Pelodiscus sinensis: one gene and its partner. The protein of the gene in region 2 purifies or fractionates together with the protein of the main gene of each other region. This does not show direct contact. Links are inferred from orthologs where the notes say so. Each region holds a gene or a part of one and is shown on either strand. Other genes may lie near its edges. The genes, in order: PFDN5 and MAPK7.

Region 1 (15,000 bases), on a different chromosome or scaffold from region 2:
CAAATCCTCCTGCTACAGGGCAGGCTGTTGGCATGTGGGCAGCTTGCCCTGTCCCCGTGTCCATGCCACTGCACTGGGAGGGCCTGGGAACACGCCAACGGCTCGTAGCTGGGCGTGGCCCATTGGGTGACCTCCCCTAATTGCTCCTGGCAGGTGTAGCCGTGTGCCTGCTGACCCTGGGGAGCCTGCAGCCTGGCACTGCTGGGGACACCTTGCTGCTAACCCGCCTGGAGAAGGACAGCCCTCCAGTCACCATCCACATCCCAACAGCTCACAGCAAGGTGAGGGGCAGGGTCCATGGCACAGCAGGCTGGCAGCAGTGGGGGCTCAGGACGGGGGTCACAGTGCTGTGTGTCTGCAGGCGCCCCTGAGCACCGTGCTTGGCGAGTTTGATGCCATCCAGAGGGAGCAGAAGGAATTCAGCAGCTGCACGGACAAGAGGGACTGGTGGATGGGCCGGACGGAGCTGGACAGAAGGATGAAGGTGGGTGGGGATGCAGGAACTCGGCGGAGCAGGAGCCTTGGGCTTTCTGGCTACCTCTGCCCCACCTTGCTCTGCCAATGTGTTTCCCATGGCCCTATGGGGGAGCTCCCTCCTCACAGACCCTTCCACTGAGGGGACTGGGGGGGCTTTGCTGTCAGTGCTCCAGACTCCTGTTCCCTCCTGCAGGTCCTGACGGAGACTCTGGAGAAGGAGGTGCTGGGATGCTGGAAGGGGGCCTTGCTGCCGGCCAGCCCAGACCCTGCTGTGGGCGAGGAGGCCTCCAGCCTGCAGGAACGTCTCCGGGAGTGTGGCTGGGACGGCTCTGATCTGGCCCTGCTGAAGGTGAAGGAGAGTCCTGGGAGGGCCAGCCGAGGAGCTCCGAGCACGACCCGGCTCTTGGCTTTGGCCGGGCAGGGAGATGTGGCTGGTCTAGCGTTAGCCTGCTGAGTTGAGCCTGTGACTGGTGGGAAGGGAGCCAGGTCTCCACTAATGGGACCTGACCTCAGGAGAGCACGTGGGTCCCATGGGGGGGTTTGAGGTGTTGGTCCCACTTCTGGCCCAGTCGCTCACGCCTCAGTCTCTCTCTCCCCTCAGCTCGTGTTGACCAGCGCTCACCTCCTCACCCCCCAAGACGTGCAGTGCCTTGCGTCGGGGCTGTGCCCAGCACAGCCGCATGCCGCGCAGGCCCTGCTGCAGGAGGCGCTGGACAGGGGGAGATCCCGCAGCGGGCAGGCGAGTGGTCACCTGGTTCTTGTGCTGGACAAGGTTAGTGGTGGCCTCCCCAAAGCATGTCCCTGCCAGCCCAGCCCCTGGCTCATCGGGTGTCTCTCTCCTCTCCAGCACCTGCAGAAGCTGCCCTGGGAGAACATGCCCTGCTTGAGAGCCCTGCCAGTGACCCGGCTACCCTCCTTGCGCTTCCTGCTCAGCTACACCCTTGCCCAAAGAGTAAGTGGGGGTGAGGCGGGCCAGGCTGGGACAGTGGGTAGCCCCTTTGGGCCCTTCCTCGGGATGGGGAAATCCCCTTCCCCCGTCCGACCTGCTCGACTTACTGAGCTTGAGAGATCCAGGCAAGAGGAGCAGTGGCCCCCTCCCTGCTCGCTGGAGGGGCTCTGAGGTGCCCTGGGGCAAGTTCCAAGTGCTGTGAGCCAGGACTAAGTTCACATGGCTGGACGGGGCACTGCCCAGTGCCCTGGGTCCTGGGGTGCTGTGGCTGCCCACACGGATCCTCTCCAAGATCTCAGCCTGTGCCTGGGGCTCTGTAGGATGCTGCACCTAAGGGGGGAAGTAACACGTCTCGGGGGGGCCTCATTTCAGCATCAGCCAGGGTCTGTCCTCACCCGCGGGGTGAACCCCAGCAATGCCTTCTACGTCCTCAACCCTCACGACAACCTGCCTGGGACAGAGGAGCGCTTCCGAGCCTGGTTTGAGAGGTGGGTGCGTCCCTGCCTGTGTGCCCAGTGGGGAAGGGTTAATCTGCCCACCTCAGACGGAGACGTGTGTCCCCTGAGGCCTCAGCAGGTGCCCGCAAGGGGCATTGCTAAGCCAGGCCATGGGAGTTTGCCTGTCACTGGCAGGGCGGCGGGCGCCCTGCTCTGTTCTCACTCGGTGTCGTCTCACAGCGAACCCGGCTGGAGCGGGGCGACAGGAGCAGTCCCAAGCCAGGAGCAGATGCAGTCGGCTCTCACGGAGCACGATCTCTACATGTAAGTGTTGCTGGCGGGTTGGGGGCCACCTACAAGCCAGCGGGACATGGGTCTCCAACGGTGGGTGGAGCCAGCAAGCAGGGCGAGTCCCTCTCACAGATGTGCACCTCAGACTTCTGGGTACCATTGCCAGCTCCCCTGCTCCCCACTCTGAGGTCCAAGGAGACCCCTCTGCAGGATGCTGCTGCCGATGGGTTTCTGTAGTGGCAAGTGGCACTCTCCTGTGTAAAGGACAAAGCGTAATGATCCTGAGGGATGGGGTGCGCCCAGGGGAACAGTAGCAAGGCACCCCATCGGGCCATGGCTGCAGAGCATTTGTCCTGCGAGTCAGCCTCACTGGAGGCCAGGGAGCTGCGTGGGAGAGCAGTGACCCCAGCTGTCACCAGATCCCCTGCCGTGCTGGGCACTAACCACAAACTCTGCCTTAGCTACGCCGGGCATGGAGCAGGGGCTCGATTCCTGGATGGCCATTCGGTCCTCAAGCTGGACTGCCGTGCTGTGGCCCTGCTCTTCGGCTGCAGCAGTGCTGCCCTGGCCCTCCGTGGCAACCTGGAGGGAACCGGTATCATCCTCAAGTACATCATGGCGGGATGGTGAGTCTCCCCCCCCGGCCCACGTGGCTTTAGAGCTGTGTGTAAACCAGGGAGGTGCGAGGGTTGGAGGGCTCCTTCCTGACCCCTGTAGAGGCTCAGTTTGGACCCTGAAACATGAGGTCTGGTCACCCTGGCTGAGCTCGTAGAACTCCATCTGCTAATGGCCATAAATCAACATCTCTAATCCCATCACAGCCTCCCACTCTGCTGCCTGAGGCCAGTGCAAGCTTCCCTCACTCACTCACCACACACATCTAATTAATAGCAGGGAGAGGGTTAGGAACTGAACTACCCTCTTTGTACTTAGGCCAGACATGGCTATGCTGGGTGAAGGTACCGGCTCCAGCCCTGTGTCTGTTCCCTTTACAGCCCCTTGGTGCTGGGAAACCTCTGGGATGTGACTGACCGAGACATCGACCGCTATATGGAGGCACTTCTCCAGAGCTGGCTGAAGTCAGGACCAGGTGCTCCTCTCCTCCAGCATGTTGCCCAGTCCCGCCAGGCCCCCAGACTCAAATACCTGATTGGTGCAGCCCCCATAGCCTATGGCTTGCCTGTGATTCTGCAGTGAGACCCCTGTCCAAGGCGTCATGGGACTTGGATCATAAAGGAGATCCAGCACCTGACCTCTGCCTCCTCTGGACCAAAGCTCCTCTGAAAGTGCCTTTTGTTCAGATGCAGATTTTCAGCCTTGTCTGTCTGATCTCGGCAGACAGCCCCTGGTTGGCTTCTCATAAGGACTTGTGGATGGATGATCTCTTAAGGTTCACTGTGGCACATTTAAACAGCTGCAGTGTCTTGGAGTGGCTGGTCTGGGAGAAGAATCGTATGCATGTAAATTGTCAAATCTGTATGAATAAGTTATTTTAATAAAAGTACCTGAGTTTTTATATTGTAAACTGCCGTACAAGTGTTATGGTCAACTGAAATAAAGCTGGTGGAGCCATAGCCTTGAATCATGTGGCTTTCCTGGGCCCCAGGGCAGGCAGACAATTCACTCCTCCACTTCTGACCTAAATCGAAATGGAACCAGATTGCTAGTACTTAACATTAAAAAGGTCGTAGAGCAGTTTTTAAACTAAAGACTGGGGGAAAGCCAATATGATTCTAGGTTGTATCAACAGGTGTGTTGTAAGCAAAACTCGTGAAGTCATTCTGCCGCTCTACTCTGCACTAGTTAGGCCTCAGCTGGAGTACTGTGTCCAGTTCTGGGCGCCACATTTCAAGAAAGATGTGGAGAAATTGGAAAGGGTACAGAGAAGAGCGACAAGAATGATTAAAGGTTTAGAGAACATGACCTGTGAAGCCAGGCTTCATGAACTGGGCTTGTTTAGTTTGGAAAAAAGAAGATTAAGGGGGGACATGATAGCGGTTTTCAAATATCTAAAAGTGTGTCGGAAGGAGAAAATTTGTTCCTCTTGGTTTCTGAGGACAGGACAAGGAGTAATGGGCTTAAAGTGCAGCAGGGGAGGTTTAGATTGGACATTAGGAAAAAATTCCTAACTGTCAGGGTGGTCAAATATTGGAATAAATTGCCAAGGGAGGTGGTGGAATCTCCCTCGCTGGAGATATTTAAGAACAGATTAGATAGTCATCTGTCAGGGATGGTGTAGACGGAGCTTGGTCCTGCCTTGAGGGCGGGGGGCTGGACTCGATGACCTCTTGAGGTCCCTTCCAGTCCTATTATTCTATGATTCTAGGTGTGGAGAAGCACATGGATTGGACAGAGATCTATTGGGGAGGCTATATTAATAGAGATGTTCTAGTCAGGAGGAGATGATGGAAGTATGGGTCAGGTCAAATGAGACAATCAAATGAAAGAGTCTAACATCAGGAAATGGCAGACATAAATAGTGACAAATTATTAAAGTGCTTATATGTAAATGCTAAAAGTCTAAAGAGTAAAATGGGTGAACTGGAGTACCTAGTTTTTAAAGGAGGATATTGATATAATAGTCATCATGGAAATTTTGGTGGAATGAGGACAATCAATGGGACACAATCATACGAGGGTACAAAATATATTGGAAGGACAGAGCAGGTCATACTGTGGCACTATATGTGAAAGAAAATGTAGAATCAAATGAAGCAAAAAATCTTAAATGAACCAAAATGTTCCATAGAATCTTTATGGACAGTAATTCCACGCTCCAATAATAAGAATATAGCTGTAGGGATATATTATCAGGACCGTGATAGTGACTGAGAAATTCTGAGAGAGACTAGAGACGCTATCAAATTAAACTCAATGGGTGTGTCTAGACCGGCAAGTTTTTCTGCAAAAGCAGCTGCTTTTGCGGGAAAAACTTGCCAGCTGTCTACACTGGTCGTTTGAATTTCCATAAGAACACTGACTTCCTACTGTTGGAAATACTATGCTGCTCCCGTTTGGGCAAAAGTCCCTTTTGTGTAAAGCTTTTGTGCAAAAGGGCCGGTGTAGACAGCTCAGATTTGTTTTGCACAAATGGCAATCGGGGCTTTTTTGCGGAAAAGCGCATCTAGATTGGCACGGACGCTTTTCTGCAAAAAGTGCTTTTGCGGAAAAGCGTCCGTGCCAATCTAGATGTTTTTTTCTGCAAATGCTTTTAATGGAAAACTTTTCCATTAAAAGCATTTGCGGAAAATCATGCCAGTCTAGACATAGCCAATAATAGCTGGGGTCTTCAACTATCCCTGTATTGACTGGGTACACATGACCTCAGGATGGGATGCAGAGATAAAATTTCTTGATCCATTAAATAACTGCTTCTTGGAGCAGCTGGTTGAGGAACCCACAAGGGGAGAGGCTATTCTTGATTTAGTCTTAAGTGGAGTTCAGGATCTGGTTCAAGAGGTAAATATAACTGGACCACCTGGAAATAGTGACCATACTGTAATAAAATTTAACATCCCTGCAGTGGGAAAAACACCTCAGCAGCCCAACACTGGCATTTAATTTCAGAAAGGGGAACTACACAAAAATGAGGAAGTTAAACAGAAATTAAAAGGTACAGTGACAAAAGTAAAATCTGTGCAAGATGCATGGAAACTTTTCAAAGACACCATAATAGAGGCCCAACTTAAATATATACCCCAAATTAAAAAACAATAAGAGAACCAAAAAAGTGCCACTGTGGCTTACCAACCAGGTAAAAGAAGCAGACACAGATGAAAAAGATATCTTTTAAAAAATGGAAGTCAAATCCTAGTGAGGAAAAATAGAAAGGACCATAAACTGTCAAATTAAATGTAAAAATATAAGAAAAGCCCCCAAAGAGTTTGAAGAACGGCTAGCCAAAAACTCAGAGTAATAGTAAAATGTTTAAGTACATCAGAAGCAGGAAGCCGGCTAAACAACCGGTGGGGCATTTGGATGATCGAGATGTTAAAGGAGCCCTCAAAGATGATAGTTGTAGCAGGGAAGCTGAATAAATTCTTTGCTTCAGTCTTCGTGGCTGAGGCTATTGGGGAGATTCCCAAACCTGAGCCATTCTTTTTAGGTGAGGAAATCTGAGGAATTGTCTCAGATTGAGATGTCATTAGAGGAGGTTTTGGAACAAATTGATAAACTTAATACTAACAAGTCACCAGGACCCGGATGGCATCACCCAAGAGTTCTGAAAGCACTCAAATGAGAAATTGCAGAACTAGTAACTGTGGTTTGTAACCTATCCTTTAAATCAGCTTCCGTACCTAATGATTGGAAGAGCTAAGGTGACACCAATTTTTGGTGACACCAATTTTTAAAAAGGGCTCTAGAGGTGATCCTGGCAATTTCAGGCCAGTAAGTCTAACGTCAGTACCAGGGAAATTAGTTGAAACTATAGTAAAGAATAAAATTGTCAGACGTGAATGAATATAATTTGTTGGGGGAAAGTCCATGTGGTTTCTGTAAAGGGAAATCATGCCTTACTAATCTGCTAGAGTTCTTTGAGAGGGGTCAACAAACATGTGGACAAGGGTGATCCAGTGGATGTTGTATACTTAAGATTTCCAGAAAGCCTTTGACAAATTCCCTCTCCAAAGGCTCTTAAGTAAGTTGTCAAGGGATAAAAGGGAAGGTCCTTTTGTGGACTGATAACTGGTTAAAAGACAGAAAGCAAAGGGTAGGAATAAATGGTAAGTTTTCTGAGTAGACAGATGTAACTAGTGGGGTCCCCCAAGGGTCTGTCCTGGGCCCCATCCTATTCAACTTATAAATTATCTAGAGAAAGGGGTAAATAGTGAGGTGGCAAAACTTGCAGATGATCCCAAACTGCTCAAGATAGCTAAGAGTGTGAAGAGCTTCAAAAAGATCTCACCAAACTAGGGGATTGGGAAACAAAATGGCAAATTAAATTTCATGTTGATAAATGTAAAGTAATGCACATCGGAAAACATAATCCCAACTATCTATACCATATGCTGGGGACTAATTTGGCTATAACTACTCGAGAGAGATCTTGGAGTCATTGTGGCTAGTTCTCTGAAAACATCCACTCAGTGTACAGCGGCAGTGAAAAAAGCAAATAGAATGTTAGGAGTCATTAAAAAAGGGATAGAGAATAAGACAGAAAATATCCTATTGACTCTACATAAAACCATGGGACGCCCACATCTTGAATACTGTGGCCAGATGTGGTCGCCTCATCTCGAAAAAGATACATTGGCATTGGAAAAAGTTCAGAAAAGGGCAACAAAAACGATCAGGGGTTTGGATCCCATATGAAGAGAGATTAAAAAGACCTGGACTTTTCAGCTTAGAAAAGAGGAGGCTAAGGGGGGGGGGGATATAACAGAGGTCTATAAAATCACAACTAGTGTGGAAAAAGTGAATAAGGAAAAGTTATGTACTTATTCCCACAATAAAAACTGGGAGGGGGTGTCCTAATGAAATTAATAGGCAGCAGGTTTAAAACAAACAAAAGGAAGTTTTTCTTTACTCTGTGCACAGTCAACCTGTGGAACTCCTTGCTAGAGGATTTAGAGAAGGGGGAGAGAGGCTTTAGGCCACTCTCAGGGCAGCAGAGAGCCCCAGCATGAAGCCCCCATGGCTGCCTCTCTGCAAAGCTCCTTGCTGAGCTCCTGTAAGCAGCCTGGATGTTAAGTGACAGGTGGTGGAGCTGTGCAGACCCCAAGAGCAGAGGCTGCCCCTTCTGGGGGGTTATCCAGCCTGGACAGGCTAAGGCCTGTGCAAACCAGACTGACTCCACTGGCACCAGCAGGCGCTGCTGTTCTGACATAGCCCTGGGGCCGCCTTGCTGGGCCAAGCAACTCCCCTGCAGACCTGCTGCCCACGGGGAGCCTGGCCCCGCCCCGCCATGGCAGCCGGAAGTAGGCGGAGCCTAGCTCCCCGCCATGGCAGCCGGAAGTAGGCGGAGCCTAGCCCCGCCCGGAGCAATGGCAGCCGGAAGTAGGCGGAGACTACCCCCCCGACAATGGCAGCCGGAAGTAGGCGGAGCCCCACAGTGCATGGGCGGGCCGAAGGAACCATAGAGTCCGGCTCGCGCAGGCGGCTTCCGGCCCAGAGCGTCTCCCCGGCCCGCGCTCCCCAAGATGGCGCAGCAGGTGAACATTACGGAGCTGGCGCTGCCGCAGCTCGAGCTGCTGAAGAACCAGCTGGACCAGGTCAGGCCCCGCCCCCCCGCGAGACCCCCCCCCGGCCCCGCCTCCCCCGGGGACTCCGGGAGCGCCCCTCCCCCCCGCGAGACCCCCGGCCCCGCCTCCCCCGGGGACTCCGGGAGCCGCCCCTCCCCCCCGCGAGACCCCCGGCCCCGCCCCCCGGGGACTCCGGGAGCGTCCCCCCCTCCCCCCCGCGAGACCCCCGGCCCCGCCCCCCGGGGACTCCGGGAGCGTCTCTCCCCCCCCCCCCCGCGAGACCCCCGGCCCCGCCCCCCGGGGACTCCGGGAGCGTCCCCCCCCCCGCGAGACCCCCCCGGCCCCGCCCCCCGGGGACTCCAGGAACCGCCCCCCGCGAGGCGCCCCCCTCCCGCGAGACCCCCCCGGCCCCGCCCCCCCAGGGGCCTCCGGGAACCGCCCCCCGCGAGGCGCCCCCCTCCCGCGAGACCCCCCCGGCCCCGCCCCCCCAGGGGCCTCCGGGAACCGCCCCCCCGCGAGGCGCCCCCCTCCCGCGAGACCCCCCCCCCCCCGGCCCCACCCCCCAGGGGCCTTCGGGAGGCCCCCCCGCGAGACCCCTCGGGAGCCGCCCCAGGAGCCCCCCTGAGCCGCGTGTCCCCCCAGGAAGTGGAGTTTCTCTCCTCCTCCCTCGCCCAGCTCAAGCTGGTGCAGACCAAGTATGTGGAGGCCAAGGACTGTCTGAGCGTGCTCCGCCGCAGCAACGAAGGTGGGTGCCGGCCGCCCCCTTCCCCAGGGGAGCCCCCTTGGCCCTAGGCTTCCCCCCCCCCCGCTGCCCTAGGGTCCGTCTGTCCCATGCCCCAGGGGAGCCCCCTTGGCCCTAGGCTTCCCCCCCCCCGCTGCCCTAGGGTCCGTCTGTCCCATGCCCCAGGGGAGCCCCCTTGGCCCTAGGCTTCCCCCCCCCCCCCCCCCGCTGCCCCAGGGTCCGTCTGTCCCATGCCCCAGGGGAGCCCCCTTGGCCCTAGGCCTCCCCCCCCCCCCGCTGCCCCAGGGTCCGTCTGTCCCATTCCCCAGGGGAGCCCCCCCTTGGCCCTAGGCTTCCCCCCCCCCCCCCCGCTGCCCCAGGGTCCCCTCTGCCGACAGTAGCCAGCACCAGGTGTCCCAGAGGGGTGGACCGAAGACAATGATCAAGCGATTTGTCTCCTGCCATCCCTCTCCAACCTCCGACACACAGAGGCCAGGGACACCATTTTATCCCCTGGCTAATAGCCTTTTATGGACCTCACCTCCATGCTGCTGTTGGGAGGGGGCCCCGTGCTGTGGGGCAAGGGAGGGTTTGGGTAATAACAGGCATTTCTTTGTCTCTCCAGGCAAAGAGCTGCTAGTTCCACTCACCAGCTCTGTATCCTTTCCTCACCATTGTGCTCCTGCTCCTGACTCTCCAGTGTGATTCTCTCCCCAATGGGACACTGAACCCTTGTGCCCCAGGACGCAGCCTGCTCTGCCTTGGGTGCAGCCAGCAGCTTAGGGTTGAACGTTTCCAGTCAGTGGGCAGGAGGCTGGGAACAGTCACTGGGACCCTTTTCCTTTGTCACTCATCTAAGCCCTGCTGGACTGAAGCTGCTCCTGTGAAACTGGTCTGTGCTGTTCCATATGGCCGGCCGGCCACCCACGTCCCAGCTGGCTCGTTGCCAGAGGGGAGTAGGCCAGTAGAGGGGAGCTCACCTCTAACTCTGCGGGGGGGCTGCACTGGGGCACTTGTCCAGCTGCTGGTCTTGTGCCTGCTCTAGGAGTGGACGGAGCTGCTAGTGCCCCACTCAGTCCTTGCTGGGCCAGTGGGTTTTCCAGTGCTCTTGGCGTTTCCTGCTGGCCCTGGGTTGGGCTTCTCCTTGGGCCAAGCAGCACCGAAGGGTCTGGGGACTGATCGGATCTTTGGATGCCTATTGAAATTGGTTCCCCTCATCCCCAGGCGGCCTGCCCAGTTCATACTAGCAACGTGGTCCAGTGGGTAGGGCACAGGCCTGTGACTGTCTAGTCCCCGCTGTGTGAGCTCGGGTGAGTCACTTCCCATCCCCCCTTCTCTGCCTCCTTTGGTTAGACTGAGCGCTCTCCAGGACAGAGACTCTCTCTGCATGTTGGTACAACGGAGTCCTGCCGCTGCAGAAGCCTCGTGTAACGGTGCTTTACGCGGAAGCCCTGGACGAACTGTCCTCTGCGCTGAAGGAGCTCGGTTGATTTCTACCCGTTCCGGATCTGGCCCTCTTGCGGGTAGTGTGAGGCTAAGCTGCTATCCCCATAACCTTCTTGCTCTTACGGTTCCCCTGCTGGTCCTGTCTTTTCCTTTGACCTCCCTGGCAGATGTACGTCCCCGGGAAGCTCTCTGATGTTGGCCATGTGCTGGTGGACGTGGGGACGGGCTACTATGTAGAAAAGGTAGGAGGCGCTCTCATAGTGGGTTGACCCATGAGCAGCATTAGACAGGGAGTGGCAGAAAGCGCTTTACCTACTTATAAAGTGGTTGGACTCTTCCCCACTCCAGCCTCTTTGCATAAATCATGCTCACAGCTGGAGTGCAATTCTGCCCTGGGACAGAGAGGAGTGACTGCTAGCAGGTGAGGTTAGTGCGCTGCAGTTCCCTGCTCGGGGCTTGGGTTCATTCCCTTAGCACTTTCCCCTTTGAGACAGTGCCATCAATTTCTATCTTGTGGGGTGCTGAGGGGCTGTTGAACAGCTCTTATGTTACACCCCAGAGGTGGCTGCATTTCAGAAACAGGTGATACCTGGATGCACTGACAGCTGTGATGCTTCATTAGTTAGTGCAGGGGTGGGGGACCTGTGGGCCTGGCTTACCTTGATCCGGCCAGTGGCGAGGCATGGGGCCTCCCCTGCAGCGGGGCAAGCCAGTGCTCACGCTCCAGCCTTGTGGCAAGTCTCCAAGCCTCGGCGCCCCTCTGCGGGGCTGGCACATGAGTCACCCAGTAGCAGGGCAACCTAAGTCCCGAGCCTCAGCATCCCTCATGGGGCTGGAGCGCAAGGGGAGCTCCAGTGCCCCAAATTGTGTGAGGTTTTTGCTTCATGTGGGGTATTTGGGGGTTTTTTTGCTTCTCTTGTGGGTGGTTCCGGATTTTTCTGTGGGTCGGTGGCCCCCAACTAAAGGATGGTTCCCCACCCCCAGTATAGAGCTCTGAGTTCTCTGATGGAAGGTGCTGCCGAAAGGCCAAACATGCTATTGCCTGAGCAGCCCAGTCTTGGAGCAGTTTGCTTACTCTGTCCTGTGCGTCACTTCCTTGTCCCTGCACTTCAGGCAGGGGGTAAAGCCCCTCCCACGGTGCCTGCCTGTCCTGAGGGTGGGCATGTCATGCTCCCATCCCTCTTGCAGACTGCAGACAATGCCCGCGATTTCTTCAAGAGGAAGATTGATTTTCTGACCAAACAGATGGAGAAGATTCAGCCGGCGCTGCAGGAAAAACACACCATGAAGCAAGGTAGGGACCTTTCTCTGGGGCGGTGCCCACCACTGGCACCACCTGTCCTTAGCTGCGAGAGGCCCTCAGCCATGTGCTGTCACTGGCTGTGTTCTTTCCCTTGCAGCTGTGATGGAAATGATGAGCCAGAAGATCCAGCAGCTAACAGCCACGGGGGCGTCACAGGCTGTGGCAACAAGGGCATAGCCTGTGGCATCCGTCCCCAGCCCCATGGGCCCTACACGCCGCGGTGCTGCACTTGGACTGAGGCATTTTGTTCTGTTACAAGCAGAGTCTTAAAATCACCGAGGAAGCAGCTGGAGCTGAAACTGCCTGGCCCCAGCCGCCAGGAGGCATCTGCTCTCTGTGCTGGTGGCTGTTACACATGCGCAGCCTGGGGGGCTTTCCCCTTGTGTATGCGGCAGGTGATCTCCCTGGGAGAGAAATTAAACAGTTGCTGACTGGGCTTGGCCACCTCTGGTGAGAAATACGCAGGGTCTGGGCAAAGGAGCTGTCCAGCATGGGGTGCAGCCCCTTCCAATCCAGGGGAGGCTCTTGATGGGGGTGGGGGGCTCTGGGCTGCTGTCTCTACCCTGGCTTCTGTGCCCCTTTCGCAGCACAACTTGGGCCCTGGCAGGACAGGGAGGCAGCAGGCGGGTGGTAAATTCGGGCTGCACCCTTCTTGCATGGGGATCCCCCAAGGCAGTGGGTGAGGCAAAGCTCTGCTAGCTACCTGTGTCCCACCTCGTGTGCAGGCCTTGGGCTGAGGGTGGCCAGCCAGGTTCAAGCCCTACTGGAAGCAGGCAGCCCTGGCCAGCTGCTCAGTGCTGGTTCTCACCCCACACCCAGCTGTTCTGAGGAGGGGGAGTCTGTCCTGCATTGCCACCCATGCTGAGGATGGGTTCAGCGCTAGGGCCCCTGCATGCAGCTCATACAGCTAGGATGGGCAGAGTGGCCTGGCACCTGGCTTCCCCCAGGAGGTGCAATTGTCTCCCTTGGTGCACTGCTGTAATTTGGGCACCACTCTTCCTTGCTGCGTTCGCACCTCGGGTAATGCCCCTGCCCAGAGCGCTGGTCAGCCCTCAGCTGGGGTGCTGTGTCCGTTTCAGGAAAGTGATGGAGCAATTGGAGAAGGGCTGGAGCACGAGCTAGCAGGGAAGACGGAAAGAATTGGGCTGGTTTAGTTTGGAAAGGAGAAGACAGAGGGGCCACGACAGCGGTTTTCAGGGATCTAAAAGGGTGGATCAAGGAGAAGGGGGAGAGTCGTTCTTGGGCTCTGAGGCCAGGACAAGAGCAATGGGCTTTAGCTGCAGCAAGGGAGGTGGTGGGATCTCCATCACTGGGGCTATTTAAGAGCAGCTTGGATGGACCTGCCAGGGATGGTCTCTGGTGCTTGGTCCAGCCGTGGGGGCAGGGACTGGACTCAGTGGCTGCTCAAGGTCCCTTCCAGTTCTGGGATTCTATGCTGCTCTAGCTTAAAGCCACCTGCTGCTGGGGGCAGGGCAACTGAAGGGCTGGCCCCTGAAAGTCCAGCTGGACTACAGCAGAGACACACCAGCAGCGGCTTCTTGCCGAGTTTCCTTCCCAGGCAACCAGGCTGAGCTGCAGCATTTACGTTCTGGCAGCTGCACCTGGGTTCTAGTCCCCTCGGCCCCCACAGCTCAAATGCCCGGGGCTGCTGGCCTCCGGGAAGCCAAGCCCTGGGTTTGAGTAAGATGTTGCTCCTGCCACGGCGCAGGCGGGGAGAGCCACTTGCCCCCTCTGCCCATCATGCCCTGGGACTTCCTGAGCGGCCAGAGGCAATTTGCAGTGTAGGGCCTGAGTTTTACCAGGTGCAGAGCGCCAGGGCTTGTGTTGGGCATTAGCCACTTGTGAAACCTCAGGCCCCCTCGCAGGGGGCAGCCCCCAGCCCTGCCTCCCCCGGGAATGGAGACCGGTCCGATCACATGTATGTACTGGGGCAGCCCCTGCAAGGGGCTAAGCCACTCGGCATGGTGGACCTGCCCTGGAGCAGGCCCAGGTGGCTCCCTTAGCAAACACGACCTTCCTCCTCCCCAGCCAGGTGCCTTGCACTGGGTCACCAAGTGGCTTTCCCCTGCGGGAGGGAACACAGCACAGTCTGTCTCTGTCACCACCCCCGGAGCACAAGTCCTTTCCCCTGCGGGAGGGAACACAGCACAGTCTGTCTGTCTGTCACCACCCCCGGAGCACAAGTCCTTTCCCCTGCGGGAGGGAACACAGCACAGTCTGTCTGTCTGTCACCACCCCCGGAGCACAAGTCCTTTCCCCTGCCAGCACCCCCAAGCAGAAAGCTGGCGGGTGGGGGGAACAAGCAGCTCCAAGGCTCTTTAAGGGGACCAACACCCCTTGAGCGCTTTTAGGCCAGGACACCCCAAACAGACGCATGGCGCCTTTTCCTGCCCACCAAGCCCCAGCCACACAGGAGCCACACCCCTAACAGCAGAACTTTATTCTATGCAGGAGGCACCTCCTCAGCCACAACAGACAGCCCCTGGCCTCGCCTCGGATGGGTGGTGCCTTGCGGAGTATTATGGCTTCTACCGTAAACATCTCCCCCCACCCCGTCCCTCCCCTCCGTATGTACAGCTACACACGCCGACCCCCGGGAGTTTTCTGAGGTCTGCGCTCCAAGACTTTGACCACAACGGTGATACCAGGGATGGCCCTGTGCCGTGCGCCACGAGACAGCCACGTGACCTGCATGGTACGCTGGGTGCTTGTCAAGAATGTGGAAGGTCACATGACCGTGGGTGGCCATGTTCAGTGATGCTGCAGATGGTCCCATGATGGGCATGGAGCGGGCGCTGCAGCCAGCCACATGCCAACCCCCGTTAAGTGCTTCTTGATCACCGTGCTCAACCCCACCCCCGCTGGCCCGGCTCAGTGCCTGCGCTCAGCGCACGAAGAGGGGCTTGTGGACCCTCTTGTGCCGGTTGAGCGTGGCACTCCTGGCGAAGCTTTCCCCGCACTCCACGCAGATGTAGGGCTCGTGCCCGTGGGCATCAGCCCGGTGCCGCTCCAGCTCCGTGCTCTCGCGGAAGGCCTGGCCGCACTCGGGCAGGCCTGGCTCTGGCGGGCGGCGTGCAGCCGCTGGTGCTTGAGGAGGTTAGTGCTCTGGGTGAAGCCACGGCCGCAGTCGGGGCAGCGGTGGGGCCGGGCACCTGAGTGGGTGCGCTGGTGCTTGATGAGGTTCTTGCTCTGGG
Region 2 (15,103 bases):
GGCTGAATCGCCCTGGCTAGGGGAGGAAGAAGAAAAAACAGATCAGACAGACGCGGGGCTGAGCAGCTAATCACCGTGAGCCCCCAGGAAGGACTGGAACCTGTGACCCAGGGACCTAGTGATGCTGCAGAGCTTCATGGGAGTTGTAGTTCAGGGGCTGTAGTCTGACAGGATGCCCCAGGAGCTCCCTGGGAAAGCTTAACTGTGGGTAGGGCTCCCCAGCCAGTCCAATGAGGGAGCCCGGCTCAGAGGACAGAATGAGATAACCCAGCTACTACTCCCATGATGCACTGCAGCAGCTCAGCCAGAGGGAAGCCATGGGGCATCATGGGAGATGTAGTTTGACCAGGGGGTGCAAGTTATGGAAAGTGGGGGGCAGCTGAAGAACTCGGATGAATGGACCTACAGGGTTAACGCAGTGGGGGGGCTGGGGAGCAGGATGTCCGGCAGCGGCTCTAGCGGCTTCGCGCAGCAGGGAGGGCTCACCTGTCCCTGTTCTCCGCCGCCATGTCAAAGGACTGATTGAGGAATTCCTCCAAATCGAACCCCACGCCGTAGCCCGCTCCACTGCCCTTGGGGGTCACCGAGAAGACGGGCGGCAGGAGATCCTCCACCTGTGATGGCAGCAAGACACAGTGAGCCTGGCACCCCCGGGCGCCCATCTCTCCCCCCCCCGCTTATCGGCTCCCCGGCAGAGACGGAGCGGCCCCATCCGGGCCCACCTCGACGGATCTGAGGCGCTGCCCTTAAAAGGGAAAGGCCCCGTTACCTGCGACTTGGAGAGCTGCTGCGTAACCATGGTGATGTCCGGTGACTCCGTGGGGACAGTGTCCGGCAACGGGGCTGTGGCGACCGGGTGCTGGTTGGGCCCTTTGACGCCTCCTACCGCTGGCTCCGGGGTCCTCTTCCCCATCTCCTGCAGGAAGACGGCCGGGTCCAACCCCACGCCCTCCCTGCCTGGGGGCACGAGGCTGCCCAGGGGGCGGCTCGACGGCCCCTCTTGCGGCTGTGCCCCGTTAGGGGTCGTTGGGCCTTCCCCGGGTGCCAGCCTCCCGGCCATGGGCCAGTTCTCTGGGCCCTGGGCCCCAGGCCATGCCAAGCCGAAGGGGGCCTGGAAGATCTGGCCCGGGGCGTATTTGACGCTCAGAAGGCACTCAGGTTTCGACAAAGCTTTGTGGCAAGCCGTGGAGGCCACGAGAACTGGAGGGAAGGGGCCGGGCGGGGCCGGGAAGTACTGCACCATGTTGGGAGCGGGGCCACTGGCTGGGTCTGCAGTCATAGGCAGCACAGTGAGTTTAGCGCCACCGCCGGCTGGCGCCTTCTCAGGGAAGCTCAAGAAATCCGACGTCGCAGCCATGTGACTAGCTGACATGGCTGGGAGGTGGCCAACGGCTCCCGGTGGAAGGTGGCCAGTAGGGGTGGCTGGAAGGTGGCCAGTGGCTCCTGGTCGAAGGTGGCCAGCATGGATGGCTGGGAGGTGGCCAGCAGGTCCCAGTGGAAGGTGGCCAGCAGGCGTGGCTGGAGGGTGGCCGGTGGGTCCTGGTGGAACATGACCGACAGAAGTTGTTGGGAGATGGCCAGTGACTCCCAGCGGAACATGACCTGCAGTCATGGCTGGGAGTTGGCCAGTGGCTGCCAGTTGAACGTGACCTGTGGCTCCCAGAACGTGGCCGGCAGGCGTGGCTGGGAGGTGGCTGGGGGCTCCCGGCGGAACGTGGCCGGCAGGCGTGGCTGGGAGGTGGTTGGTGGCTCCCAGCGGAACATGGCCGGCAGGCGTGGCTGGGAGGTGGTTGGTGGCTCCCGGCGGAACGTGGCCGGCAGGCGTGGCTGGGAGGTGGTTGGTGGCTCCCGGCGGAACGTGGCCGGCAGGAGTGGCTGGGAGGTGGTTGGCGGCTCCTGGTGGAACGTGGCCGGCAGGCGTGGCTGGGAGGTGGTTGGTGGCTCCCGGTGGAACGTGGCCGGCAGGCGTGGCTGGGAGGTGGTTGGCAGCTCCTGGTGGAACGTGGCTGGCAGGCGTGGCTGGGAGGTGGCTGGTGGTTCCCAGTGGAACGTGGCCAACAGGTGTGGCTGGGAGGTGACCAGCAGCCCCTGGTGGAACATGACCAGTGGCTCCCGGTGGAACGTGGCCAGCAGGCGTGGCTGGTACAGGACCGACAGGCGTGGCCGGGGCGTGGCCAGCAGGAACAAGGTTGCCAGGCGTGGTTGGGGCGTGATCCATGGGCCCATTGAGAGCCAGTTTCTGATGATTCCGGTCAATCATCTTGGTCCATCTCTCCAGGAGGCTGCGGTCGTTCTCGCTCAGCACCAACCCGCCCAGCACGTCGCCGCGCCGCAGCTCCTTGCGCTCCTTCTCCTTCTGCTTCTTCTCCCGCTCCTTGGCCCGCTCCTGCCGCCGCTTGCGCTTCTCCTCCCGCTCCCGCTGCCGCTCCTGGGCCGTCACCGGCTTCCTCATGTCCAGGGGCTCAGGGACGGAGCTCAGGGTGTCTGGGAACAAAGCACAGAGGAGTCAGCTCGCTCCCGGCAGCCCCGGGCATCACCCCCAGCCCTGCCGGTGCCCCTCACTCCTGACGCGCGAGGCCAGAGGCGTCCAACCTAGACAGCTGGCTGGGAAGGGCCCCCTCAGGGTAACGGGCCATTGGGGGGGGAGTGGCCCATAGAAGAAGCATGGCCCACACCTGGTGAGCCTTCCTGTGTGGACAATTCGGTCACCCTGCAAGTAACGGGTACCAGAGCATGTGACCAGCCCACAAGCCTCTGTTACCTACCAGCTCTGTGTTCTTGGGGAACCAGAGCATGGCCACCTGTCCGCCCTGTGCTCTTGGGGAGCCAACGATGGAGTTACGACCGTTCGCACTTACGACCAAAGCTCCCATGGAGCGGTCGTAAAGGCGGTCCCCGAGTTACGGACGCAACCCGCGCGTACGAACAGCGCGGTCGCGTGTAACTCAATGGGGTGCGAGTTACGAACGGATCCAGTTACGGCCCAGTGTTTGGTGCGTAACTCGTTCGTCACTCGGGGAGAGGCTGTACAAACAAATGCAAAATATCCCTCTTAGGAAGCATCAAGTGCACACATCCAAACTGGGACCCGAGGAAGAACTACCCCAGAAAAGAATCTGGAGGCCATAATGCGCCATAAGTAAATAAGCGTTAACAGAGTAACACTGTGAGCAAACATCATTCTGGGGAGTATAAGCAGGTGCAAGACACAAGCAGCTCCACTCCAGACCGTACTGTGTCCCGTTCTGGGTGCCACATTTCAAGGAAGATGTGGACAAACTGGAGAAAGTCAAGAGGAGAGCAACAAAAATGATCGCTCGTCTAGAAAACATGACCTGTGCGGGCAGATTGAAAAAACACCTGGTTTTCTTGAGTCTGCAGAAGAGGATTGAGAAGGACAGAATAAGTTTTCAAGCTTGTTACAAGGAGGATGAAAATGTGTTCTTCTTAACCTCCGAGGATAGGACAAAAAGCAACAGGCTAAAATTGCAGCAAGTGCAGTTTGGAATGGAAAGCAGGACAGATTTCCTGCCGGGGTGGTTATGCTCCGGAACAGAGTGTCTAGGGAGGCTGTGGGATTTCCATCTTGGAGGTTTTTAACAACAGGTTAGACAATCACCTACCAGCCGCCGTTAGGGCAGGGGAATGGCCCAGATAACTATGGGTATGTCTACACTACCCCGCTAGTTCGAACTAGCGGGGTAATGTATGCATACCGCACTTGCTAATGAAGCCCGGGATTTGAATTTCCCGGGCTTCATTAGCATAAGCGGGGAGCCGCCATTTTTAAATCCCCGCTGCTTCGAACCCCGTGTAGCGTGGCTACACGGGGCTCGAACTAGGTAGTTCGGACTAGGGTGCCTATTCCGAACTACCGTTACTCCTCGTGAAACGAGGGTAGTGTAGACATACCCTTACTGAGGTCCCTTCCAGTCCTCTACATCTCTGATTCTAGGAAAATCAGAAACAGAATCCAAGATTCCTGGCTCCCAGCCCCCGCCACCGCCCTGCTCTCACCACTAGACCTCACTCCCTTCCCACATCCCAGCCTTTCACCTTTGTTCTTATTGCGCAGCGCCGACTTCAGCAGCGCGGCCTTGAGCGCCGCCTTGGTGTCGTCCGAGATGGCCCCCTCCCTCTTCGGTGGCAAGGCTTCCGGCTCAGCCTTTACCTCGGCCGGCCCCTCGAGGTTGGGGGGAGCCCCAGGCGAGGTCAGGTCTATGGTCTCCGGAGGGTAAGGGACTTCCACGGGGGCTGGCGACTCCATGGCATAGTCTCCCCCAGTGGATCCGGCGCTGGGCATGTCCACGTCCTGGCAGCGCAAGGGGGCAGCAGCGGGCGGGGTGGCATCGGCCGGCCGGAGGGCGGGTTTGAAGCTGATCTGCCGGCGGATCCCTTCGCGGCGCTCATGGAAGTCATGGATCTCGGCCACAATGGCCTCCTTGATTCGCTCTTTGGTGAGGACCTGCTTGTCGAAGTCGAAATCGAAGGCGGGCACGCAGTCGGGCTCGTCGTCCGGGTCGTGGTACTTGGCCACAAAGGGGTGCTTGAGGGCCTCGGCCACGGTGATCCGCTCGCGGGGGTCGAAGCGCAGCATCTTGGCCAGCAGCGCCAAGGCCGAGCGGTCGGCCTGCTGGTAGAGGGTCTCCCAGGGCACCGGCTGGCGGGAGGGCAGGCTCTGGATGTAGGCACGTACCCGGTCAGCCCCGATGGCGTGGATCACCTTGGCGGAGGGCGTGCCCAGCACCGTCATGATCAGCTGCAGCTGGTGGATGTAATTCTTCCCGGGGAAGAGCTGCTTGCGGCCCAGCATCTCGGCAAAGATGCAGCCGACGGACCACATGTCAATGGCCTGCGTGTATTCATGCAGGGAGAGCATGAGTTCCGGGGCCCGGTACCACCGCGTGGCCACGTACTCGGTCATGAAGTATTTGTACTCGTCCGGCTTGGTGCACAGCCCCCGGGCCATGCCGAAATCCCCGATCTTCAGCTCGCAGTTCTCGTTGATGAGCAGGTTGCTGGGCTTCAGGTCGCGGTGGATGACGTTGGCCGAGTGGATGTACTTGAGACCCCGGAGCAGCTGGTAGAGGAAGTATCGGACATGTTCCAGCGTGAGGGGCTGGGAGGAGTGGATAATCTGGTGAAGGTCGCTCTCCATCAGGTCTAGCACCACGTACCTGCCAGGGGGTGGGGAGGTCAGTGGGGAAGAGGACCCAGAAGTCCTAGCTGCCAGCTCCACCCTCACGTTCACTCACTAAACACCCCTCCCTAGAGACCCCAGAGGTCTAGGCCCCCGCACAAGTCTCCCTGCTCAACCCCACCTCTTCCAAAGCCGGGGAGACAACCCAGGAGTCCTGGCTCCCAACCCCACCTAGCTCTAACCACTAGATCGCACTCCCCTCCCAGGACCAGGGATAGGCCTCAGGAGCTCTGGCTCCCAGCCCCGTACGCCACTCTCCTAGGGTTGCCAAATGGACACACTTGACATTACATCACAACCTACATTCCATCTTATTTAGAAAATACCAGCCAGTTCTAGTGTCTCAATTTGTTTCCCGAACAGAAAGCTCAAACACTGGACTGTCCGGTTCAAAACCGGACACCTGGCGACCCTACTCCCCTCCCAAAGCTAGGGACAGGATCCGGGGCGGGCGCTCACACGGATCTGAAGTCATCATAAGGCACCGCGGGTTTCAGGATGTCTTTGATGGCGATGATGTTGTCGTGCTTGAAGTGTTTGAGGATCTTAAGCTCGCGGAGGGTCCGCTTGGCGTTCATCACCACATCGAAGGCGTTGGGGATCTTCTTGATTGCCACCTGCTGGCCTGGAGGGAACCAGAGCAGAGAGGGTCAGAGTAGAGATGCCATCCCCTGCGCAGCCCTCCCCTATGGAACCCAGGAGTCCTGCCTCCCAGCCCCCCACTCTGACCCCTCTAGGCCTAATTCCCCTCCCAGGGCTGTGACTAGACCCAGGAGTGCTGCCTCCCAGCCCTCCTCCCGTTCTAACCCACGAGCCCCCATGCCCCTCCCAGGAGTGCGGCTGGGTCCGAGCTGACCTGTGGACCGGCGCCGGGCGGAGCTGACCACGCCGTAAGCTCCGGTGCCGATGGTCTCGATGACCTCGTACTCGTCCCCCACCTCGAAGGTGACGTCGAGGGAGCGAGCCTTGAGGATGGCCAAGTTCTTGGCTGCTACGGTGGCCCGGTGCGCCGGCTCCCGCTTGTCCCGCTCCTCCGCCTCCTCCTCTTCTTCCTTCCGCGGCTCTGCCATGGTGCCTGCCCCCTGCTGAGGGAAGGCCGGGCAGGGGGAGATCAGGGAGAGGCTCCCTGAGAGAACCCAGGCATCCGGGAGTGGTGGTGCAGGCAACGGGGGGTGGGGGGGTACAGGGCCTCAATCAGCTGTGGTGGGGGAGGGGAAGAGAGAACTAGGAGAGGGTGGGGTCACAGTGCACGGAGCCTGGCAGGGAGGGGGGCGGGGCCTGGCAGGGAGGGGCGGAGCCAGCAGGGTGGGGGCGGGGCCTGACAAGGTAGGGATGGGGCAGGAGTCTTGGGGACTGGGCACCATGGGACCAGGCCTGGCAGGGAGGGGGCGGGGCCTGGCAGGGCGGGGGCGGGGCAGGAGTGTCTCTGGGGTGGGTGCCATGTGACTGGGCCTGGCAGGGAGGGGCGGGGCCTGGAAGAGAGGGGCGGGGCTTGGCAGTCGGGGGCGGGGCCTGGAAGGGAGGGGCGGGGCTTGGCAGGGAGGGGGCGGGGCGGGGCAGGAGTGGGTGCCATGTGACTGGGCCTGGAAGGGAGGGGCGGGGCTTGGAAGCCGGGGGCGGGGCCTGGAACGGAGGGGCGGGGCGTCATGGGGCAGAGACTCTCTCCCCTTCGCGGAGGGGCCGAGGGCCGCTGGGGGCGGGGTTTCCCCAGGGGGCGGGGCCTCGCGGCCTCTCTCACCAGCTCGCGCCCCGCGCCTCCCCAACCGCGGGCCGGTTCCCCCTCGGGTCCGCCGCTCCCAGCGCCTGCCCCGAATGCCCGGATGTGGCGTCGCCCCGCCCGCCCGGCCAATCACGGCGGAGGAAGGGGCGAGACCCGCAGAAGCGCGCAGGGGCCGGGCGGCTCCAAGTCCCGCCCACTCTCTGGCGGATGAGCCAATCGCGCGAGGGAGAGGGCTTCCTTACGCAATTCCCGCCCTCCCAAGGCGTGGCCAATCACGGGCTAGCTTCTTGAGAAATTAGCCAATCAGAGTAGAGGAGCAGGGCGACGGCGATTTTTACCGAAACGCCACCGCTTAGCAGGGATTGACCAATCACAGAGTGGTTCCCAGCCAATCAGAAAGAGAGTGTCTTCCCTAAACCCCGCCCTCTCTTAGGGATAGATGGACCGAGCAGCCAGTCAGAAAGAAAACTGATTCGTCTTTTTTATACATCCCTCTTACTCCCTCTAGCCAATCAGCGATTACTTCCTCATTACTGCTATCCAATCAGATCGCAACAGTGGGCGAGGCGGGGGGCGGGGAGGGCCGGGAATTTAAAGGGCCAGGCAGCCCTTTGTAGGGGAGAGGCTGAGAGTGTTCGAACAGCGCCTGGAGGGGCAGTGGGGGCTAGTGGTTAGAGCAGGAGGGCCAGGGGCCAGGACTCCTGGGTTCTAGCTGAGGGAGGGCAGTGGGGGATAGTGGTTAGAGCAGGAGGGCCAGGGGCCAGGACTCCTGGGTTCTAGCTGAGGGAGGGCAGAGGGGGATAGTGGTTAGAGCAGGAGGGCCGGGGGCCAGGACTCCTGGGTTCTAGCTGAGGGAAGGCAGTGGGGGATAGTGGTTAGAGCAGGAGGGCCAGGGGCCAGGACTCCTGGGTTCTAGCTGAGGGAGGGCAGTGGGGGCTAGTGGTTAGAGCAGGAGGGCCAGGGGCCAGGACTCCTGGGTTCTAGCTGAGGGAGGGCAGTGGGGGATAGTGGTTAGAGCAGGAGGGCCAGGGGCCAGGACTCCTGGGTTCTAGCTGAGGGAAGGCAGTGGGGGATAGTGGTTAGAGCAGGAGGGCCAGGGGCCAGGACTCCTGGGTTCTAGCTGAGGGAAGGCAGTGGGGGATAGTGGTTAGAGCAGGAGGGCCAGGGGCCAGGACTCCTGGGTTCTAGCTGAGGGAGGGCAATGGGGGATAGTGGTTAGAGCAGGAGGGCCAGGGGCCAGGACTCCTGGGTTCTAGCTGAGGGAGGGCAGTGGGGGATAGTGGTTAGAGCAGGAGGGCCAGGGGCCAGGACTCCTGGGTTCTAGCTGAGGGAAGGCAGTGGGGGATAGTGGTTAAAGCAGGAGGGCCAGGGGCCAGGACTCCTGGGTTCTAGCTGAGGGAGGGCAGAGGGGGATAGTGGTTAGAGCAGGAGGGCCGGGGGCCAGGACTCCTGGGTTCTAGCTGAGGGAAGGCAGTGGGGGATAGTGGTTAGAGCGGGAGGGCCAGGGGCCAGGACTCCTGGGTTCTAGCTGAGGGAGGGCAGTGGGGGATAGTGGTTAGAGCGGGAGGGCCGGGGGCCAGGACTCCTGGGTTCTAGCTGAGGGAGGGCAGTGGGGGATAGTGGTTAGAGCGGGGGGGCCTGGGGGCCAGGACTCCTGGGTTCTAGCTGAGGGAGGGCAGTGGGGGATAGTGGTTAGAGCGGGGGGGGCTGGGGGCCAGGACTCCTGTGTTCTGCCTCCAGCTGTGGGGCGGGTGGGGCTGGGAGTGACAATCCCACTGGAGCCTGGGGAGGGCAGGGGACGTGACAGGGCACACAAGGGCTCCTGGTGAGTCCATGGAGGCTGAGTCCAGCAATGGCTACTAGCCAGGCTGGGCAGGGTGGGTGTCCCTGGCCTCTGTGCCAGGGGCTTGGAACGGGCAACACTGGGCTAGCTGAACCTTTGGTCTGTCCCTGTCTGGCCGCTCTGCCCCCCCGCCCTAGGAGAGGGGAGTTAGTGGGGTCTTTGGGCCCCCAGCCTCAGGGTGAAATGTCGCCCCTAGATTTTGGGGTGGGTAAGCACAGTGTGTTCCCCTCAGACCTGCCCTGCTCGGCAGGGCTAAGAGCCGGGCTGCCTCCTGCGAGGCTGAGAAATGAGTCCAGCTCAGTGCGTGTATCAAATTTCTGGCCATTCGGGGGTGGTTGTGCGAGAGAGAAAGAGATTCTGTGTGTGTGTGTGTGTGTGTGTGTGTGTCTGTGGCCTCGGTGTGGGTGTAATTCTGGCTGTCAGCATGTGTGGGGGAGAGCGATTGTGCGTGTGCCTGTGCCTGTCTATCTCTGAGCATCGCTCCCTGGCTGGGTGTGTTGGGCCCTGCTCCCAGGCACACCCCCTGTGGGTGATAAACTCACCGAGCGCAGAGCAAACCTAACCTGTCACCCAGCTGGCCGCACCTTTCCCCGGGTTTCCCTGTGGACGCAGCACACAGCAGCTCCTGGGCTCTCTCCCGGGCTCAGGGAGGGCAGTGGGGCCTGGTAGTTACAACAGGGGGAGCCAGGATCTGCCCCTCATGGCTTCCAATCCCCCCCAACTGGGCTGTCTCTCGGAGGAGTTCTCCTGCCCTGTGTGCCTGGACTGGCTGCGGGCTCCCGTCACGCTCCCCTGCGGCCACACCTACTGCCAGGGCTGCATCGAGACAGCGTGGGGCACCATGGGGGTCCCTCCAGCCTGCCCTGAATGCCGGGAGCTCTGCCCCGACCGGAGATATGCCCCCTGCAGGCTGCTGGGCAAGCTGATTGACCAGGCCAGGGGGGTGAGCCCTGGTGGGGCAGGGGAAAGGGTGCGCCCAGAGGGCAGGGGCCAGGGCTACAACGAACCCCGGAAGATGGAGGGAGAATGCAGCAGGGAGATCCGCGGGGGACCAGCCACGCACGAGAACCCCACCCACCAGGCCACCGTACAGCACCAGGTGAGACGGGGAACCTGGGCTCTGTCCCCCACTCTGGGGGGAGTGTGGGGGCTCTGGCCTGTGATCCCCCACCCTCACCTCCAGCCTGTTTCCTGCCCTGTAGGAAGAGCCGGCCTCAGCTGAAGCCCAGCTGGAGTCCAGCCTCGCTCAGCTCCTGCGGCTGAAGAGGGAGGTGGAAGAAAGGATTTGGAACCACCAGGTACCTGGGGCTGGGTGGCGGGAAGGGCAGGAGCCTGGACCCCCCACCCCCCCACATGGGCTCTGGGGGCCAGCAGGGCCGAGTAGCTGTGAAGGGCAGGGCTGGGGGTATCTGTGACTATGCCAGAGACTTGAGTTTTCCCATCGCTGGGAGATAAGAACAGCAGAATGGCCAGACGGGGTCAGACCAAAGGCCTGTCTCACCCAGTGGGCTGACGGCCGGGCCCCGGAGGGAGGGAACACAACAGGGAAGCATCAAGTGTTCCCTCCCCAGCTCCTGACAAACAGAGGCCAGGGACCCCATCCCTACCCAACCTGGCTAGTAGCCACTGATGGACCTAACCTCCAGGAATCTATCTAGCTCTTTTTTGAACCCTGCTAAAGTCCTGGTCTTCACCAAATCCTCTGGCGAGGAGTTCCACAGGTTGTCTGCGCCCTGCGTGAAGAAAAACTTCCTTTGGTTTGTTTTAAACCCGCTACCTGTTCATTTCATTGGATGACCCCTAGTTCTGATGTTATGGGAGCCAGTAAAGAACTTTTCCTTGCTCACTTTCTCCACACCTGTCCTGATTTTATTGACCTCTGTCATATCCCCCCCAGTCTTTTTAATCTCTCTTCATATGGGACCCGTTCCAAACCCCTCCGCATTTTTGTTGCCCTTCTCTGAATCTTTTCCCATGCCAAAGGTAGTTTTTTGAGGTGAGGCAACCACATCTGCACACAGTATTCAAGATGGGGCTGTACCCTGGATTATCCTCGCTCCCTTTCTTAACGATTCCCAGCTTTCTGCGTGTTTGCCTGGCGCTGCGCATGGAGTTACCTGGTCCGCAGTGGAGATGACTTACAGAAGGATCTCGAGAGCCGGGGGCCAGACAGTAGTAGCCACAGAGAGTAGTTAGGTAGAAGCTGCTGGATACTCGAGTAGCTGGAGGAATATTACTCCAGTGTAACCTCGAGGTGCCTGGGGGTTGTATTAGCAAGCACGTGGGCTGCTGGGTCCCCAGAGAGGGTGAGCAGGATGCAGGCAGGTACCTGGGAGCGCTAGCTCCTGGGGTGCTGGTCCCGCTGCATCCTCTGGGCACTGGGCGGGTCCCTGTTCTCCAGGCGACGGTGCTCGGCCTGGGGGATCACATCTCGGCGGAGTTCGGGAAGCTGCGGGGCTGGCTGGCTGCCCGGGAGGAGCAGTGGCAGGTGGGGCTGCGGCAGGCGGGCAGCAGGCAGCTGCGGGCGCTGGAGAGGAACCTGCAGGAGCTGGAGGGGAAATGCCACGCGGCGCGGGAGATGCTCATGGAGACCCAGGGCCCCCTGCCCCAAGGGGACGTTGCGGAGTTCCTGACGGTGAGTCCAGCGCCCCCTAGTGTGGAAGAGCCCCGTGTCTGCTCCCCACCCCACGCAGGGAGTCCCCGGAGCTGGCGCCCCAAGTCCCACACAGGGCCTTAAAGAGACAGAGCTATACTTATTGCTTCTCTCTCTCTGTGTCCGTCCCTCACAGGACATCAAATCCTTCCTGACCTGGTAAGTCCGCCGCGTTCCTTGGTCCCTCCCCACACCCCCTTCCCCATTGCTCAGTCCCTAATACGCTGTGGCCGGGGCGGTTCTCCCCCCTTATACAGGGCGAAGCAGCATCTGGCTACGCCTCGTGGGCCAAATACAGGGTCCATGTGGCAGATCCTGGGGCAGTTTAAAGGGCCAATCCAGTATACTGCCTGGAAGGACATGAAATCCATCCTCAGCATCGGTAAGAGAAAAGGGCCCAGCAAGGGGTGCTCTCCCCTGGCAGGCAGGGCTGGTGCCAGGGGGCTCTGTGGGGCAGGGAGGGGGCAGGGCCCAGCAGGGGGCTCTCTCCCCGGGCTGGCCCAATGCACCAGGGTGGTGCTAGGGGGCACTGTGCTGCAGGGGACCAGCAGGGGGCGCTGTCTTCTGGCAGACAGGGCTAACCCTGTGCCCCAGGGTGGTGCCAGGGGGCGCTGTGGGGCAGGGCCCAGCAGGGGGCGCTCTCCCCAGGCAGGCAGGGCTGTCCCAGTGCACCAGAGTGGCACTAGGGGGCATTGTGCTGCAGGGGACCTGCGGGGAGCGCTCTGGGTTGGCCCAGTGCCCCAGGGTGGTGCCAGGGGGCGCTGTGGGGCAGGGCTCAGCAGGGGGCGCTCTCCCCTGGCTGGCAGGGCTGGCCCTCAGCAGCTCAGTGCTGCAGGGGGCCTCGATTTAACCCTCCCTCCCCCACCCCCTTCTTGTCCCTCTCCAGATCTGCCGCAGGTGACGCTGGATCCCACCACGGCTCATCCCTGCCTGGTTCTCTCAGAGGATCGGACCCGGGTCCGGGACGGACACCACCGCCGGCCCCTCCCCGACACTCCCGCCCGCTTCGATTTCTGCGTGGCTGTGCTGGGCGCGGCGGCGTTCGCCTCCGGGAGGTGCTACTGGGAGGTGGAGGTTGGGGAGAAGCAGGCGTGGACGCTGGGCGTGGTCCATGCCTCCATCAACCGCAAGGGGAAGATCCAGGCCTCCCCCAGCAAGGGCTTCTGGGTCATTCGGCTCCGGGGCGGGACTGAGCTCATGGCCAAGGACATGCCCCCAGTGGTGCTCCGCCCCCAGAACCTGCCCCACAGGATCGGGGTCTACCTGGACTACGAAGGGGGCCAGGTTTCCTTCTACGACGCCCACAGCATGTCCCACCTCTATACCTTCAGCGCGTGCTTTGCAGAGAGAGTGTATCCCTATTTCTGCCCCGGGCTGTATGATTCGGGGGGGAATGCTACCCCCCTGAAAATCTGCCCCCTGCCCTGAGTCAGCCTTACCCTGCTCCGGGGCCAGACGGAGCTGGTGCCCCCTAGCAGGGAAAGGCCCCTTGTCCCATTTCCCCAGCCCCCTGAGCCAGCCAAGCCTCTGCCCAAGGGCCAGCTGGCAGCTGGAGCCCCTAAAGGGGTCAGGCCCTGTGATCCATTCCCCAGCCCCCTGAGCCAGACAATGGATTATTGATGAATGGCCATCATCCTCAGACTCGTCAGAGCCAGCTGTTTGGTTCTCCGAAGCAAGAAGGAACGGAGCACAAGGCCAGACTGCACCCTGCCAAGCAGGGACTCCAACAAGATCCTCATGGACATGCAACCCAGCACGAACCCCCAATGTTTCCTCTACTCTTTTCTACCCATGCGCGGATTTTTTCCATCTGTGTAGAATAAATTTTGTTATGTGCACCGCAGTGTGTGAAGATGTGCACCACCAGGAGAAACACCAACCTAGCGGTGGGTATCCTGCTAACCAGCTAGGCAGTATTCGAATTTTTCCTGCGTCCCGCTTCCAGGGAATGCTGGCTCCCAGCGCGACGCCGTGGCCGGAAGAGCTAGTGTGGTCCTGGGGGCACACACGGGAATGGTGAGTAGGAGCTGAGAGGTGATTCCCACTGGGGCCCTGCTGCTGGGGTCCTGTGTCCAGTTCCGGGGCCCCCACTCAAGGACAGTGATGGATCGGAGAGGGGGCAGAGAAGAGCCGTGAGAAGGGTCAATGGGTCGGGCAGCCTGCCTGAGAGAGATTCCCGGAGCTCTGGCTAGTTCCAGGAGCACAGAGGGCTAAAGGGTGACTTGGTCGTGCTCTGTAAACACCTCAGGCAGGAGCAGAACAGTGATCAGTGGCTGTCCAGCCTGGCCGACACAGGCCTAACACAGCAGTTCCCAAACTTTTCGGCATCGTGCCCTCTTTTTGATTTTTGAGGAACCCTCACACCCCCACTCCCAAAAACATAGCAGCAAAATTCAAAGTGGGATTGACGGGGGGGGGGGTGCGTCTGGGTTGCCTCGTGCCCCCCCTGGAATTTTTTCACGCCCCCCAGGGGGCACACCCCCCAGTTTGGGAACCCATGGTCTAACAGGAACCAATGGCAGACCAGTTCAGACTGGAAATAAGGGGCATCTTGGGGAACTCACCCTGAGGACAAGAACAGAAGGCTACGTCTAGACTGGCATGATTTTCCGCAAATGCTTTTAACGGAAAAGTTTCCCGTTAAAAGCATTTGCGGAACAGAGCGTCTAGATTGGCACAGACGCTTTTCCACAAAAGCACTTTTTGCGGAAAAGCGTCCGTGGCCAATCTAGACGCGCTTTTGCGCAAAAAAAACCTCGAACGCCATTTTCACGATTGGGGCTTTTTTGTGGAAAACAAATCTGAGCTGTCTACACTGGCCCTTTTGCGCAAAAGCTTTGCGCAAAAGGACTTTTGCCCGAACGGGAGCAGCACAGTATTTCCGCAAGAAGCCCTGATTTCAGACACTAGGAAGTCAGTGTTCTTGTGGAAATTCAAGCAGCCAGTGTAGACAGCTGGCAAGTTTTTCCGGAAAAGCAGCTGATTTTGCAGAAAAACTTGCCAGTCCAGACACAGCCAAGGTATTGCAGTGGGACCCTGAACGCCAACTGCAGATCAGCTGTTCTTGCGGCTACACCGTGAAACGACAGTGTGACAAACACGGCTGGGTGAGTGTTCACAAGTAAAGCTGCTCCTGGCTACAGCTGGTGGGGCATTTTCCAAAGAGGGAATATGTTTGTGTGGGGAAGCATGCCATGGAAACACTGGGATGACATTTCCGGGAGCAGGATACGGGGGGGATCAGATCAGGGCATTTCAATGTTTTGTTTGCTTGTTTCATTTTGATTTTTTTAATTTTATGTGACCTAATTCTCAACTAGGCTTGGAAGAATTCGATTGGCATCTGCTAATGTTGTAAATGTCAATTTTGCCATCCACGTTCCCAAAGTGATGAAAAACTATTCCACTGGTAATCATGGACAGAGAATCAAAACACAAAATGTGGCATGAGAATTCAGCCTTTGTCATGAAATAGTTGTTGGGCACACTCAGAATTTCCTGCAGCTCTGACACTTTACACTGATTAAACTTTTAAAAGTTTAAAAATAAACATCAGCATCTGTCCTGAGTAGAAAATAGAAATCTAGTTCTCCCAAGCTGAATATTCATGGCTATAAATGTAAACCAAAATTAAATTTAAACTATGTGCTGTATAGAATATTTAAATGATAAATGTGTGCATATGCA

The links.
Region 1: the proteins of MAPK7 (region 2) and PFDN5 purify together in Homo sapiens (affinity purification with mass spectrometry; 3 studies listed by BioGRID and IntAct, with this or other methods). This does not show direct contact. The link is inferred for Pelodiscus sinensis from reciprocal best matches to the Homo sapiens genes MAPK7 and PFDN5.

The regions. Positions count from the first base shown.
Region 1 is NW_027465863.1:3,788-18,787, reverse strand, and holds PFDN5 (prefoldin subunit 5), read left to right. Parts: upstream 1-8,208; 5' UTR 8,209-8,294; coding exon 8,295-8,366; intron 8,367-8,978; coding exon 8,979-9,081; intron 9,082-9,682; coding exon 9,683-9,714; intron 9,715-10,670; coding exon 10,671-10,745; intron 10,746-11,691; coding exon 11,692-11,797; intron 11,798-11,903; coding exon 11,904-11,983; 3' UTR 11,984-12,242; downstream 12,243-15,000. Other genes in the region: ESPL1 (separin), read left to right, coding at 154-281, 362-484, 671-826, 1,079-1,249, 1,325-1,429, 1,799-1,914, 2,104-2,187, 2,616-2,780 and 1 more; uncharacterized protein LOC102448630, read right to left, coding at 14,678-15,000. UniProt on the Homo sapiens protein: Binds specifically to cytosolic chaperonin (c-CPN) and transfers target proteins to it. Binds to nascent polypeptide chain and promotes folding in an environment in which there are many competing pathways for nonnative proteins.
Region 2 is NC_134714.1:134,155,238-134,170,340, reverse strand, and holds the start of MAPK7 (mitogen-activated protein kinase 7), read right to left. Parts: upstream 7,087-15,103; 5' UTR 6,939-7,086; intron 6,286-6,938; 5' UTR 6,271-6,285; coding exon 6,057-6,270; intron 5,826-6,056; coding exon 5,660-5,825; intron 5,178-5,659; coding exon 4,057-5,177; intron 2,485-4,056; coding exon 770-2,484; intron 615-769; coding exon 487-614; intron 17-486; coding exon 1-16. Other genes in the region: E3 ubiquitin-protein ligase TRIM69-like, read left to right, coding at 9,464-9,862, 9,966-10,061, 11,165-11,398, 11,553-11,575, 11,674-11,798, 12,303-12,844. UniProt on the Homo sapiens protein: Plays a role in various cellular processes such as proliferation, differentiation and cell survival. The upstream activator of MAPK7 is the MAPK kinase MAP2K5.